2 linked regions of the Drosophila melanogaster genome follow. Changing the gene in region 1 together with any one later gene gives a genetic interaction. Each region holds a gene or a part of one and is shown in the gene's direction. Other genes may lie near its edges.

Region 1 (7,936 bases):
CCTCTAGTGCTGCACTTCCGCTCCTGGTGAACCTGAACGACTGCGATGTGGCTTTGAATCACACTTTTCGCGTGGGCGACTGCGGTCCTTTGACGCAGGACTTTATGAATCAGCTGCGCATTCTGGTCTACATACGCGAGGACATCGTCTCCTACCACACGGATGTCAAGCAGGGCGTCTCTCGGGATCCCACCTATCGTTGTGGCAGTGGCATTGACATGGACGAGCTGCGCGAGTCCATTAATCAGACAATGACAGATGTCTCTGGCCTTATAGGTCGGTATAGCATCAGCAATGCGGAGTTTGACATCGAAGATGTGGTGCAGAGGGCCAAGGTTCGCCAGCTCACGGATCTAACCGATAAGCTTTGGGAGCTGCTCAAGTGCTGCCACTCCTACAAGGATCTCAAAATTGCCTTTAGTATGCTCTTCCAATGTGCTGCACGGTGTAACATAGTAGTAAGTATGCTAATGCATGCAAACCACCACATATTATTCATGTTCCTCACCCCATAGAACACGCCTACTAACAAAAATCGACTTGCCAAGATTATCACCGAGTTGGCCAACCGTCGTCTGGCCATGCCTTGTTTAAGTGGGGCCGAGCCTCTGGAACTGCTTTTGGAAATTGGCCTGGAGAAGTTGTACAAGGACTACGAGTTTATCTACACCGAGAGCAAGATGTGCAGCACCAATCTGTTGAAGGATGACTCCAGCGGAGCGTCGATGGACGATGGTTCTCCCCAGAATCTGCCCCAGCTTCGAAAATCCCTGCACAATGCGGTCAGGGGTGATCCGACCCCTGGAGCTGGAATGCGAAAGACGCTGCTGCATCATCACGGCGCTGTCAATTCGCGGAGTACAAAATATGCCGGTAGCGACGATGATGCTGGGTTCAAAAACAGCCATTTCGACGAGCACGAGAGTACGGAGAGAATCTCAAAGTTGTTTCAGATTCACTGCACCTTAGAGCATCTCCTGATGATGCACATCCACTTAAATCTGGCAAATGGTAAGAAGGACAAAAAGCAGATCCTGGGATTTTTAGCTATAACTCCGTTTTTGACCTACAGTTTACAACGATGTCTGTTCTGAATTGCTGAAGAAACCGCCTAAATTAGTAGAATCCATCGATGATCAGCTAAGTGATGTTATGGACATTCGCCTGTCTGCCCACTATGTGAGGGATCACTTGGATGGCAAGGATCCCTACTCCCGGCACATTACCATGCGTTCGCACAACAAGTTCCGCGAACTAAAGACCACCTTCTATTTCAATTCGGAAAACATTTGTCCGCCGAACTTGGCTCAGTGTTTCCAGTGTGATGGTAAGTTTGCTTTTTGACTTGTTTATTTTCTATAGCTATGGTAATATATTTGACTTCGCAGACAAGGAGATGGTCAAGGAGCGCACATATCATTCCTGGATATATCACAAGATTCGCTCACTTAAGTAAGGCTTGCTTAGTAATACAAAATTGTACATTCTTTAAATTTAAGCATGGCTAAGAATGGTTTAAAATGGCCTTTTTCACATTGTAATAATTTATTTAATGGATATCTAGCAAGAATGTCCCTTAGCTGCATAATGTTTTGAGACACATTTAAAATGTTGAATTTTTTCAAACACTGCTTGTTGTATTATTAAATTAAATGCCTTTTGGTTATAACTTTTCAAACTTTTTTTCTATCGAACCTTTTTGTTCGGAATTTTAATTGTTTGAGCTTGTTGAACACGCTCTTCGACGCGTTTTCGCAAACCTCCAAAAAAGTCAGCAGTGCACACCGAAATCATGTTAAACGAACTCGTACAAGTTTTAAGCCGACCCAGAGGCTATTGCAGCTGCATTGGGAATCTTGAAAACCTGGCCGAAATCCGCTTCCGCCCTGCTCGCACTTTTATCACAGTGTTTTTGCCGGCCATATTCTATACAAAGGTCAGCATGACCAGCATTTGGCCATTCCTCCAGTGAAGTAATGCTGCAAATGAGGCGAAAAGAGTGTGTGCCCAATGGTGACGGCGCCATCGAGCATTCCCGATATGTTACAATCCAATTAGCCGGATGCGCCAGTTGGCCAACTAGAGTACTTGGCCCGTCGCTGATTGATTTGCAGTTTGTCAGACGTGCGTGGAACGCGCAGCGGTTCGGTCGTGTTTTTTCCAGCCCTGTTTTTCCCCTGAAAAGCGAACGGAATTTCAAGCAAGGATTTCCACGCGAGTGTCCTGGCCAGGGAATATAGCCACTGGGAGCTGGAAATCAAATCAAATTTTTTGGACAGTTGACTAAAGAGTGAAGAGTGAACAGTGCCCGTGAAATCTTAATTAAGTTTGTTTAAATCGCCAAGTGTCGCGAGTGTCTAATTTAATTTACAGCAAAATGGTGTGTATTGGCCAACAAAATGGCCTGATATCCTGCTAAACTAAATCTAAATTGCTATTGAACTACAAAAGAGGACATTTGATAATCTATGCGAGTAGCCCTTGAAGTGCCTAAGTCTTGCGACTTAAAAAAAACCATGGACGGATTCAAATCCTGTGAAATGAAGACACCCCTTTGGTCTAGTCACCCCTGAACTTATCCTCGGAAACTTTTCCAGACACAACAGCTAATCCTTTTGCGAAGTCGTAGTGAAACTGCTAACAGGCTTGAGAAGCCATATTAAAAGTAAAAAGTTAAACGTCCTGCTGACGTTTTCATAATCTATTTAGCTGAGAAAAAACTGATCCTTTGCAATGCGGGCTAGAATTCAATTAAAGGATATTATTTAATGGATACTATTTTAAGATGATAAACCTATATCGTTCTATAGATATCTATGGATACTATAAAGCTGGTTGGAAAACTTTCTCTTGTGACTAAGTGCTAGTCTTCCTATAATTAGTCATCCCAGTACCCAGTACATTATCCATTCTATCCCTAGGGCCTCGAATTTTTCTTTAAGTTCGGCTATGCCTTCCTGACTATAACGCTCATGATCATGATCTGGATGTCGCTGGCTCGCGCCTCCATGTTCGATCGCGAGATGGAGGAGACGCATTACCCGCCCTGCACCTACAACGTGATGTGCACCTGCTCCAAGTCCTCCACGGATCTGGGGATAGTGCACTGCAAGAATGTTCCGTTTCCGGCACTGCCGCGCATGGTGAACCAGTCAAAGGTGAGTCGTAAGATTAGCTATCTCCATAAATCAACACTTTTAGTTCTGGTCATACCCATTTAATTACCCATAACCACCACCACATTAATTTATTAACTCCGATAACTGGAATGTATTCTGGTTTAGGTTTTCATGCTGCACATGGAGAACACAGGTCTGCGGGAGATTGAGCCCTACTTCCTGCAGTCCACGGGCATGTACCGCCTAAAGATCTCTGGGAACCATCTCACCGAGATCCCAGATGATGCCTTCACCGGCCTGGAGCGATCGCTGTGGGAGCTGATTCTGCCGCAGAACGACCTGGTGGAGATCCCGTCCAAGTCCCTGAGGCACCTGCAGAAGCTGCGTCATCTGGACCTGGGCTACAACCACATAACGCACATTCAGCACGACTCGTTCCGCGGCCTGGAGGACTCGCTGCAGACGCTGATCCTGCGCGAGAACTGCATATCGCAGCTGATGTCGCACAGCTTCTCCGGGCTCCTCATTCTTGAGACCCTCGACCTGAGTGGGAACAACCTGTTCGAGATCGATCCGAATGTGTTCGTCGATGGAATGCCGAGGCTGACCCGTCTGTTGCTCACGGACAATATCCTCTCGGAGATTCCGTACGACGCCCTGGGTCCGCTAAAGAGCCTTCGCACCCTAGATATCTCCCACAATGTGATCTGGTCGCTCAGTGGCAACGAAACCTACGAGATCAAGGCCAGCACCAAGCTGAATCTGGACAATCTACACCTGGAGTACAATCACATCGAGGTCCTGCCTCCCAATTCATTCAAGTACTTCGATACCGTCAACCGCACCTTCTTCGATGGCAATCCCATTCACACTCTGAGGGTAGGTTAACTAACCCTTGTGAAACTTAACTGGACGAAAATCCCTCCCAGAAATTTGATTTATAAATAACATATTTGGAACTTACGGTTCGCTTTCAGGAAGATGCATTTAAGCCCGCTCGAATCAGGGAGATCTACATGCGCTACTGCGGCCTGACCAACATTTCGCCTGTGGCCTTTGACAGCCTGGTGAACAGCCTCCAGATCCTGGATTTGTCTGGCAACAATCTCACCAAGCTGCATCATAAGCTCTTCAACAATTTCGATGTCTTGAGGTGAGTCGAGCACCTGCACTCCGATTCACTCACGTTCTGCCCCCATTCCATTTGCACATGTGCATATTGGGGGGAACTAATCGGATTGCCGGCAGCCTCTAAGGCTTCTCAAGTTCCTAAGTTCGTGTGTGCGACAAGTGGGTGACCCTATTTAAAAGAATTCGAGGAAGAGGGAAAAGCCGCGCAATCAGGCAATCTTGCAAAAATACGCGGCACTGAGAAAAAGCTTGATTTGCATAGCTATTATTGAATTTTATAATGGTAAATTATAATTCTATACATTTATTTCTTAATAATAGGGTCATCAGCATGCGGGACAATAAGATCAAGATCCAGAAGCCCACGGAGACCTTCAATGCGGTGCACTACACCCTCCTGAAATTGGACCTGAGTGGAGACCGCAACGACCCCACCAATCTGCAGACCCTGCGCAAGTAAGTGAACCCAGTGCACCGAGAAACATCCTGCTCCCCACACACCCTTCACCCCAGAACCACTCTTGTATTTATTTACAAAAAGTATGACCAGAATGCGGAACATGAGATCACTGTCGATCTCGCGCCTGGGATCCTCCTCCGTGGGACCCGAGGACTTCAAGGACTTCGGCGTGGAGCTGGAGGATCTGCAGATCACCAGGGCCAGTCTCTCCGGGATTCAATCGCACGCCTTCAAGCACGTTAGGGGTCTGAAAAGGCTGGACTTTAGCGAGAACGGAATATCAAGCATAGAGAACGATGCCTTCCATGAGGTTATTCAGGATTTTCTTAATATAATTGGGCTCACTTAATAAAAAAATCTATTTTTTAGATTGGTCACTCGCTCATCTCTCTGAAGATGTCGCACGGCTATTCTGGCAGTGCCCTGCCAGCTGAACCCCTAAGGCATCTGACCTCCCTCCAAGAGCTGGACTTTAGCAACAATCACATCAGCAGCATGAGCGACACCAGTTTCCATTTCCTGAAGAACTTGCGGCTCCTAGAGCTTCATGACAACAGGATCGAGCAGGTTTTAAAGGGCACCTTCCAGGGCGACATTCACTCAAAGCTGGAGGAGATCTCGCTTCGCTTCAACCACCTGACCTCCATATCCCAGCATACCTTCTTCGATCTGGAAGCCTTGAGGAAACTGCATCTGGATGACAATAAGATTGACAAGATCGAGCGAAGAGCCTTTATGAACCTGGATGAGCTGGAGTATCTAAGCTTGAGGGGCAACAAGATAAACAACCTGGCCGACGAGTCCTTCCAGAACCTACCGAAACTGGAGATCCTGGACATGGCCTTCAATCAGCTACCCAACTTCAACTTTGACTACTTCGACCAAGTGGGTACCCTTTCGAATCTTAATGTGAACGTGAGCCACAATCAAATCAGGCAGTTGATGTACAATTCCTCGTGGAGTGGACGAAATGAACATGGTAGGGTCTTCTTTACTAGCAAATCTCCAGTTTGTTAATAGCTTCACTATACAGGTGGCATGTACCACTCGAATATTAAGATATTGGATCTTTCCCACAACAATATATCTATTATCCATCCTGGATACTTCCGGCCTGCTGAAATTTCGCTGACACACCTACATCTGGGCTACAATTCGCTGATGGTAAAACAAATTGTATGACTTTGTTACCAGCCTTTTATACCCTTTGACCCTTTAGAACACGACTCGTGATGTCTTCGGCAACATGCCCCACTTGCAATGGCTGGACCTCAGCTACAACTGGATCCACGAACTGGACTTTGATGCCTTCAAGAACACCAAACAGCTCCAGCTGGTCTTCTTTGGCCACAATTACCTCAGTGACATTCCCCAGGATATATTCAAACCTGTCCAAGGCCTGCGCATCGTTGACTTCTCGCATAATCACCTGAGGGGCCTGCCCGACAATCTCTTCTACAACGGAGGCATGGAAAAGTGAGTAAATAACTATATAGTCAATGTATGGACATAATGTATTCGTGACTCTTAAAGATTGGATGTGTCGCACAACATGATGTTGAAGATCCCCTCCTCATCGCTGTCCAGTTTGGCTGCGCTGACGCTTTGTGAACTGCACCTGTCCAACAACTTTATCTCTACCATTCACAGCATGGATTTGTCCAACAAGTTTAGAGTAAGTGAATTGGTAAAACCGTTTAAAATTATAAGACACAATCTTAATTGTGACTATAGTCCCTGCGCTACCTGGACATCTCATACAACTATCTGCTGCGAATTGATGATGCAGTGTTCGCCACCATGCCAAAACTGGCCGTTCTGGACCTCTCCCACAATCGGGATCTGAAGGTGATGGATAAGTCGTTTATGGGCTTGGAGAACTCGCTGATCAAACTGGGCCTGGAGAACATTTCTCTGAGCACGGTGCCCGAGATTCGACTGAAGTATCTGCGGGAGTTCCGCCTGGGTTACAATGAGCTGCCCTCGATTCCGCAGGAACTAGCCCACAATATGAGTAATCTGCGCATGCTTGATCTCTCCAACAACGACTTGACCAATGTGCCACTGATGACCCAAGCTCTGCCCCACTTGAGGTGCGTTAATCCAACTTGGTAAATGGTCTATCTAATCAGTATTTGCAATTTACAACAGACGTCTGATGCTTTCTGGCAATCCCATAACCTCGCTGAACAACAACAGTTTTGATGGCGTGAACGAGGATCTTGAGATGCTGGATATATCGAATTTCCGGCTGCACTACTTCGAGTATGGCTGTTTGGACTCGTTGCCTCACTTGCGATCGCTTAAGCTCACTGCCTATTCCCACCTGGAGCACTTTAATATTCCACATCTGTTGCGCCACCATTACAATATCCGCCAGTTGTGGATCGAGGCCCCACAGCCCTTCACTCGCATTGTTAAGAAGGGATCTGGACCCACCCAGGAGATGCAGACCCTTCAGCTGGGCAATCCCACCGACTTGCAGCGCGAAATGGAGGGCCATCTGCCCTCCAAGCTGACCAACATCACCTTCAGTGGTCCCCAGTTCACCAACCTGAATGAACGCATTCTAAGAGTGAGTAATTCTTCCAACTCGATGTCTATATAAGCTAAAAATTATATATTTAATTTGATCCAGGGCATGCGTTCTCCATACCTCTACATGCAATTATTCAATACCTCGCTGCAAGCCTTGCCTCCGAACTTTTTTAAGTACATGGGCCGAGTTCGGAACATTTCGCTGGACATTCGCTACCACAACAGGAACCTGAAGAAGATTCCCAATCCAAACACTGGAGCTGTTCCCTATCTGCCGAATAGTGTGTTCCTCACGGACTTGAAGATGTCTCACACCGATCTCAACTGCGATTGCGACCTAGGGTAACGCCTGGTTTTCTTATTGTACGATATTGAATTGCAAATTATAATTTGTTTGTATAGGTGGGTGGAGTTTTGGCAGCGCAAGAGGCGCCAGTACATCTGCTCCTCCCAAACCTGGACCGATACCGTCTTCCGCACCTTCATGAACTCACCTTGCCAAGTGTACGGACGTCACAACTGCGACGAACACGACGATGACCTGAGGGAGACGCGCTGTGAGAACAAAGGAGGGCAACAGCTGATGGAGGTGGGTATCCGATGGAATATTGCCAAGGCATATGTCGCTAATCGCTAATCGCTATCCCTCGATAGGCCCTCAAATTCGATCTGGAGTGCGGGTGGGACA
Region 2 (4,713 bases), on another chromosome or scaffold:
ATGCGCAAGACGGCTAACGTGACCTATGGCGATACATGTATCACACTTGGCTGGGGGCAGATATACCAGGTGAGCCAACCCATGTCTGTTTCAGCGCCATGGAGTAATGCCACTCTCCCCAGCACGGCCCATATTCGAATGAACTGGTCTACCTGGACGTGATTTTGAGGCCGCCCTCGCTCTGTCAGAAGCACTACGACACCTTCACCGCGGACCACAATGTGTGCACGGAACCCGTGGGAGAAAGCATGAACTGCGCCGGGGACATGGGCGGACCCCTGCTGTGCAAGGGGGCTCTGTTCGGGCTCATTGGCGGACACATGGGATGCGCGGGCGGCAAGGCCATGAAGTTCCTCAGCTTTCTGTACTACAAGGACTGGATTCTTCTCACCATCCAATCCCTTTCCGACTGCGGGGTCAGAGTATCCTTAAGTCGTGTTTTTCTTACTCCCTTGCTACTGATTCTCGTAAATTGATATACAAAATAAAGCGAAGAAAATTGCAGAAGAATGTGCGGCATCACATTGAGTTCAGATATCAACGAAAATTAAATGTATTACTACATGGTCATAGATACACCTCTATTAAAGGTTTTCCCTTGCCTAGTTACCTTTGATGGTAATACATTTGGCGGTCGCACCAAAAGGAACCGCAGTTGCCTTTCTGCTCGAGTCATTTGTGACCAAATGTGACATTGATACACCGAACAAAGGACGACAAATGCACACAAAGAACCCGAGGGACAGGAAGTTGGCGTGGTGATATCGTAACCACCAAACTAGATGCACCTTTGCGGATGTTTCCGGTTAGGAGCCGAGCTGGGGCCATCGTGGCTGACTTTAAGTTTGAAATCCTCTCCGGACTGGCGTGCGAATCTGACGCAAAATGCATAAATCATAGGCAAATTGAATTTTAGCCATGAAATGCACTTCTGCCGCGGATGCGCCCAGGCAATGTCGTTGTCGTTTTCGTTTTCGTTGTCGTTGTCACGGGCGCCTCCCGCTGCGAGCACTGACAATATGTTGGGGAAAATGCAGGAGAAATGACGACCCTCCTCGAATTCCCGTCATCGTGGTGCTTAACTTTAGCCCGCTCCGCTTTCGGCTTTCAGCGATGGCAAAACTTTGTCTGGCTTGGCGTTGATGCAAGTTTAAAGCAAAGTCTACTTAATGCAAAGCTCAAGGCGCCTGCCGCCAACACAAACAAAACTGCGAAATTGGTCGTTAGTTCTTATGAGATATATTTGTCATTTCCACGAAAACTAAAGAGCTTTTAGCCAGGCTGTGCAGCATAACCTGGCATCTAGAGGGGGCTTAAATCTCTGAGCATCTTTCCAGGCCCGCAAATATTCTATAACACTGTTCACTTGATATCTGCAAATATGCATATTACATATGTGCGCTTGCCTCATCATAAGCTATCTGACTAAATCAAGCTAATGCTGAAGAATGACTTTCTTACACCCGGTATAAAAAATTATTTTTTCCGGAGTTGGGGGAATCCGGCTGTAGTTTTCCCGCCTCAGCAGCACGTGCTTTTCCCCCGGGCAAAGAAAATGGGCAACCAACTGTCTATATTCACCATGCGCCTCTTTTGCATTTTCACTCGCTGCTCGCTTAATGTAAATGGCAAAACAGGTAAAAATTTCTAAGTTTTCTTTGCCGATTATTGGGACCTAAAACCTTTTCACCGTTCAGTCATCGGACGACGCTGGTCGAGCTGTGTGGTAGAATTACGGTGGAAGCCGAGTCAGGACATTCCTTATTCATACTAATTATGTGAAAATGAATAATTAATTGGGTGATAATTGTCGGCTTGATTGCATGCAATGTAAACACCGAAAAATAGTCGCAAAATCGCAAACGGTCAATAAACGTGAGCCGTATCCCCGTATTCCAATTCGCTCAATTACGAACCGATTTCAACTCAATTCCGAGTTTCGGTAACGAAACGTTCAAACAAACGAATCGAATCGAAACGAATCGAATCAACATATCAAACTAATTGCAATCGAATTTAAATAACGTTCAATTAAAAGCATGGTTCGCAAAGTCAAACCCATAATCACGCCATATTTGCCTGTGTTAAGTGTGTGAAAGTGTTTAGCGAGGAGGGAAAGAGAGAAAGGGCTCCGATTCAACATCAATCAATTAATTGGGATCCCGAACGAGGTGCGTAAGTTCGTTTGCCGTGCAATTCGTTAATTAATCGAATGCGGTGCATTAGCACAAACTGGGGCGTTAAGTCTGACTCATTATGTTTAATCCGAACTAACTGCTGACTTTGTTGATGTGGGTCTTAAATGTTGGCAATGTTATACACGAGGTAACACACAAAACTCCATTCTGGTAGGTATTTTGGTATTTCAACAATAATTTGGGCGCCAGTAAGTATGCAACACTCAATTGCTTACTGCATCTTTGAAAGTTGCGCCTAAAAGAATGCACTCAACTTTGGAATTCGATGAAATTTGCTTTGTACTAGCTAAGTACCACTTCACCCATGAGCTGCCGCACAACCATTATCGAACTTCTTTTATTATCCACCGTACCGTTAGTAACGTGAATAACTCCACTCTAAGCCGTTCTGAAAGCCTTTTACTCGGCGTGACCCAATGCATTGAACTCTGCCACCTCGATCCATAATACTCCTCCTGTTATCATTGAACGGCTTTCACTAATATCTTTCTAACAAGGAGAGAAATGGCTACAATAATAGGGAGATAATAGCCGACAACAAGTCCGCACATTGCGTATCGAGTTGCCTTCGAAGAGCTTGGCCAGCCCATTCGAGCGCCTTGACTCGTGTCCACTTGGCTAACATAATCGCACATGCGGTCACATACAGAGCATACAGATGGAGATGGCACATACATACGAACATACGCACATACACACACACGTATGCGAACGGGGTGGGGACGCAATGCATCGGCGTATCGAGTTTTAATGACCCACTTTCTAGCTCAAGACTGTTTAGGTTCGGCCAGCCATCTGTATTGGTTTGGTCTAATTCGGAAAGTCCCCTGGCAGAGCAATTAGTATGGCCATTGGCCAGCATGAATGGGCGATAAAGGCGGCAAACGGCGAACGTGGTATTGTCAAGGAAAACAAATGAGTTGGGCTTGCAACGGCCACTTGAGGGGCTTCTGCCGGGGTGTCCGTACTTGTCCAGGCCCGAAAGAGATGTCTGCTCCCAGAACCGAAAAATAGAAAAGAGAAAACAGTGAAAGAGTGATTTTACAGTCTCTGAAAGTCATTACCCATTGATGTGTGCACTGCAGGAGGTGAAAGAGAGACCCTTTGGCTAGCTAGTTTGCTCGATTTTTAGCTCGATTGTGTGTTGACAGCATTGGAAAGGGCAAAGACAGCACAAGATTGCAACAAAGCGAGAACTGAAATGAAAATTAATAGAATTAAGAGGTGAAGAATTCAATTCACGGCGACATTCAGGGACGCCACTTAAATGGAACAGAACCTTGGCGGGAATTCAGTTCCCGCCCACGCTGCGTATGCTTAATAAAGCAAACCAAGCTGCTTTGTAAAGTAATCAATATCAATATTTAAATGATATTTTATTGTACTTTTGTTTATTAGTATGTGACATATATCTTATCCTGATAGTGAAACATTGCAGAATGTGTAACATACGCGGCGTATACGTAATTTGATGAAGATTACATACAGACCGCTCCTAGTGGGGTTAGGTCACTTCGTATTTAATAAACAAAATTTAGGTACCACAGAAACAATTTGTGTGGGAAATATGTGAGAATTCCCCACGAAGCTGCAATATTCATTAATTTGGCGAATGTCACATAATCTTCGTGAGTTACTAGGGGCCCAGCTAGTTACTTGGGTGTTTTTGGAACCCGAAGCGTAGGAACATACATATGAATGCATAATTGGAACATAAAATTCCGGGAATATTTTACAGCATTCTCCGGGGCACCATGTGAGTGTTTGGTTTTTGTTTGGCCCGATACGGCTCAGCTCCATTCTGCCCCTCCGCCTCTCCGCGCTCCCGCGCTCTACCCGACTATTCATGGCCATGCCTGTTCCGCATTAATTCATTCGCAGGGCGGAGAACCAAGCCATCCGGCCGAAGATGGACCAGCGCAATCTAACACTGCCAACGCCAGCCGCAACAACAATTATGTCCTCGTCATCAGCAGCGATGTCGGCGGGCTTCGCATCCCTTGGAGGACCCACCACGTCCGCCCTGACCGGATCCACAATAGCATTAGCCACAACAACAACAACGGCGCCGCCAACAACGACGCCAGCCACATTTTTTACCTACAGCATACCAGGCATGGACATTGCGCCAGGACCATTTATATTCACCTACGTTAGTGAATTTTTATCGCTTATCACGCCCGAGGAATTGCCGCTGGGTAAGTCCCTCCATGTCCGCCCCTCGCAGAGGGCGTGGTCCTGCATCCTTGTGCCCGTGTAGGATCGAATGATATCGGGGAAAGGGTTTCCAGGTGTGTGGGCTGGTATTCAGAACGTCTGCTTGCCAACAATGAAGGCATTAGAGATGTAAATTCAGGAGAGCCTTTGATAGGTGGGCAAGTTATTCAACCCAGATGGAAGACCTCATATAAATTGTGCACAGGGAAAAACTTGTGTCCGCATAAATTATGTCGATTCGTATTCGGATTTTCTTTAAATGTTTTATTAGTGGTGTCCTTATGATAGCTATTACATT

The links. Genes that interact genetically often act in the same process or in processes that back each other up.
Region 2: of chp (region 1) and prom, changing one suppresses a phenotype caused by changing the other (phenotypic suppression), as found in Drosophila melanogaster (one study listed by BioGRID).

The regions. Positions count from the first base shown.
Region 1 is NT_033777.3:31,204,705-31,212,640, reverse strand, and holds the start of chp (chaoptin), read left to right. Parts: upstream 1-1,910; 5' UTR 1,911-2,377; coding exon 2,378-2,380; intron 2,381-2,921; coding exon 2,922-3,158; intron 3,159-3,284; coding exon 3,285-3,998; intron 3,999-4,096; coding exon 4,097-4,272; intron 4,273-4,571; coding exon 4,572-4,706; intron 4,707-4,791; coding exon 4,792-5,020; intron 5,021-5,079; coding exon 5,080-5,689; intron 5,690-5,743; coding exon 5,744-5,874; intron 5,875-5,929; coding exon 5,930-6,186; intron 6,187-6,243; coding exon 6,244-6,385; intron 6,386-6,444; coding exon 6,445-6,803; intron 6,804-6,861; coding exon 6,862-7,285; intron 7,286-7,348; coding exon 7,349-7,590; intron 7,591-7,650; coding exon 7,651-7,837; intron 7,838-7,902; coding exon 7,903-7,936. Other genes in the region: zwilch, read left to right, coding at 1-458, 516-1,011, 1,073-1,327, 1,389-1,456. UniProt on the Drosophila melanogaster protein: Required for photoreceptor cell morphogenesis. Mediates homophilic cellular adhesion.
Region 2 is NT_033778.4:24,425,368-24,430,080, reverse strand, and holds the start of prom (prominin), read left to right. Parts: upstream 1-1,693; 5' UTR 1,694-2,171; intron 2,172-4,079; 5' UTR 4,080-4,107; coding exon 4,108-4,396; intron 4,397-4,713. Other genes in the region: CG15873 (uncharacterized protein), read left to right, coding at 1-69, 123-476.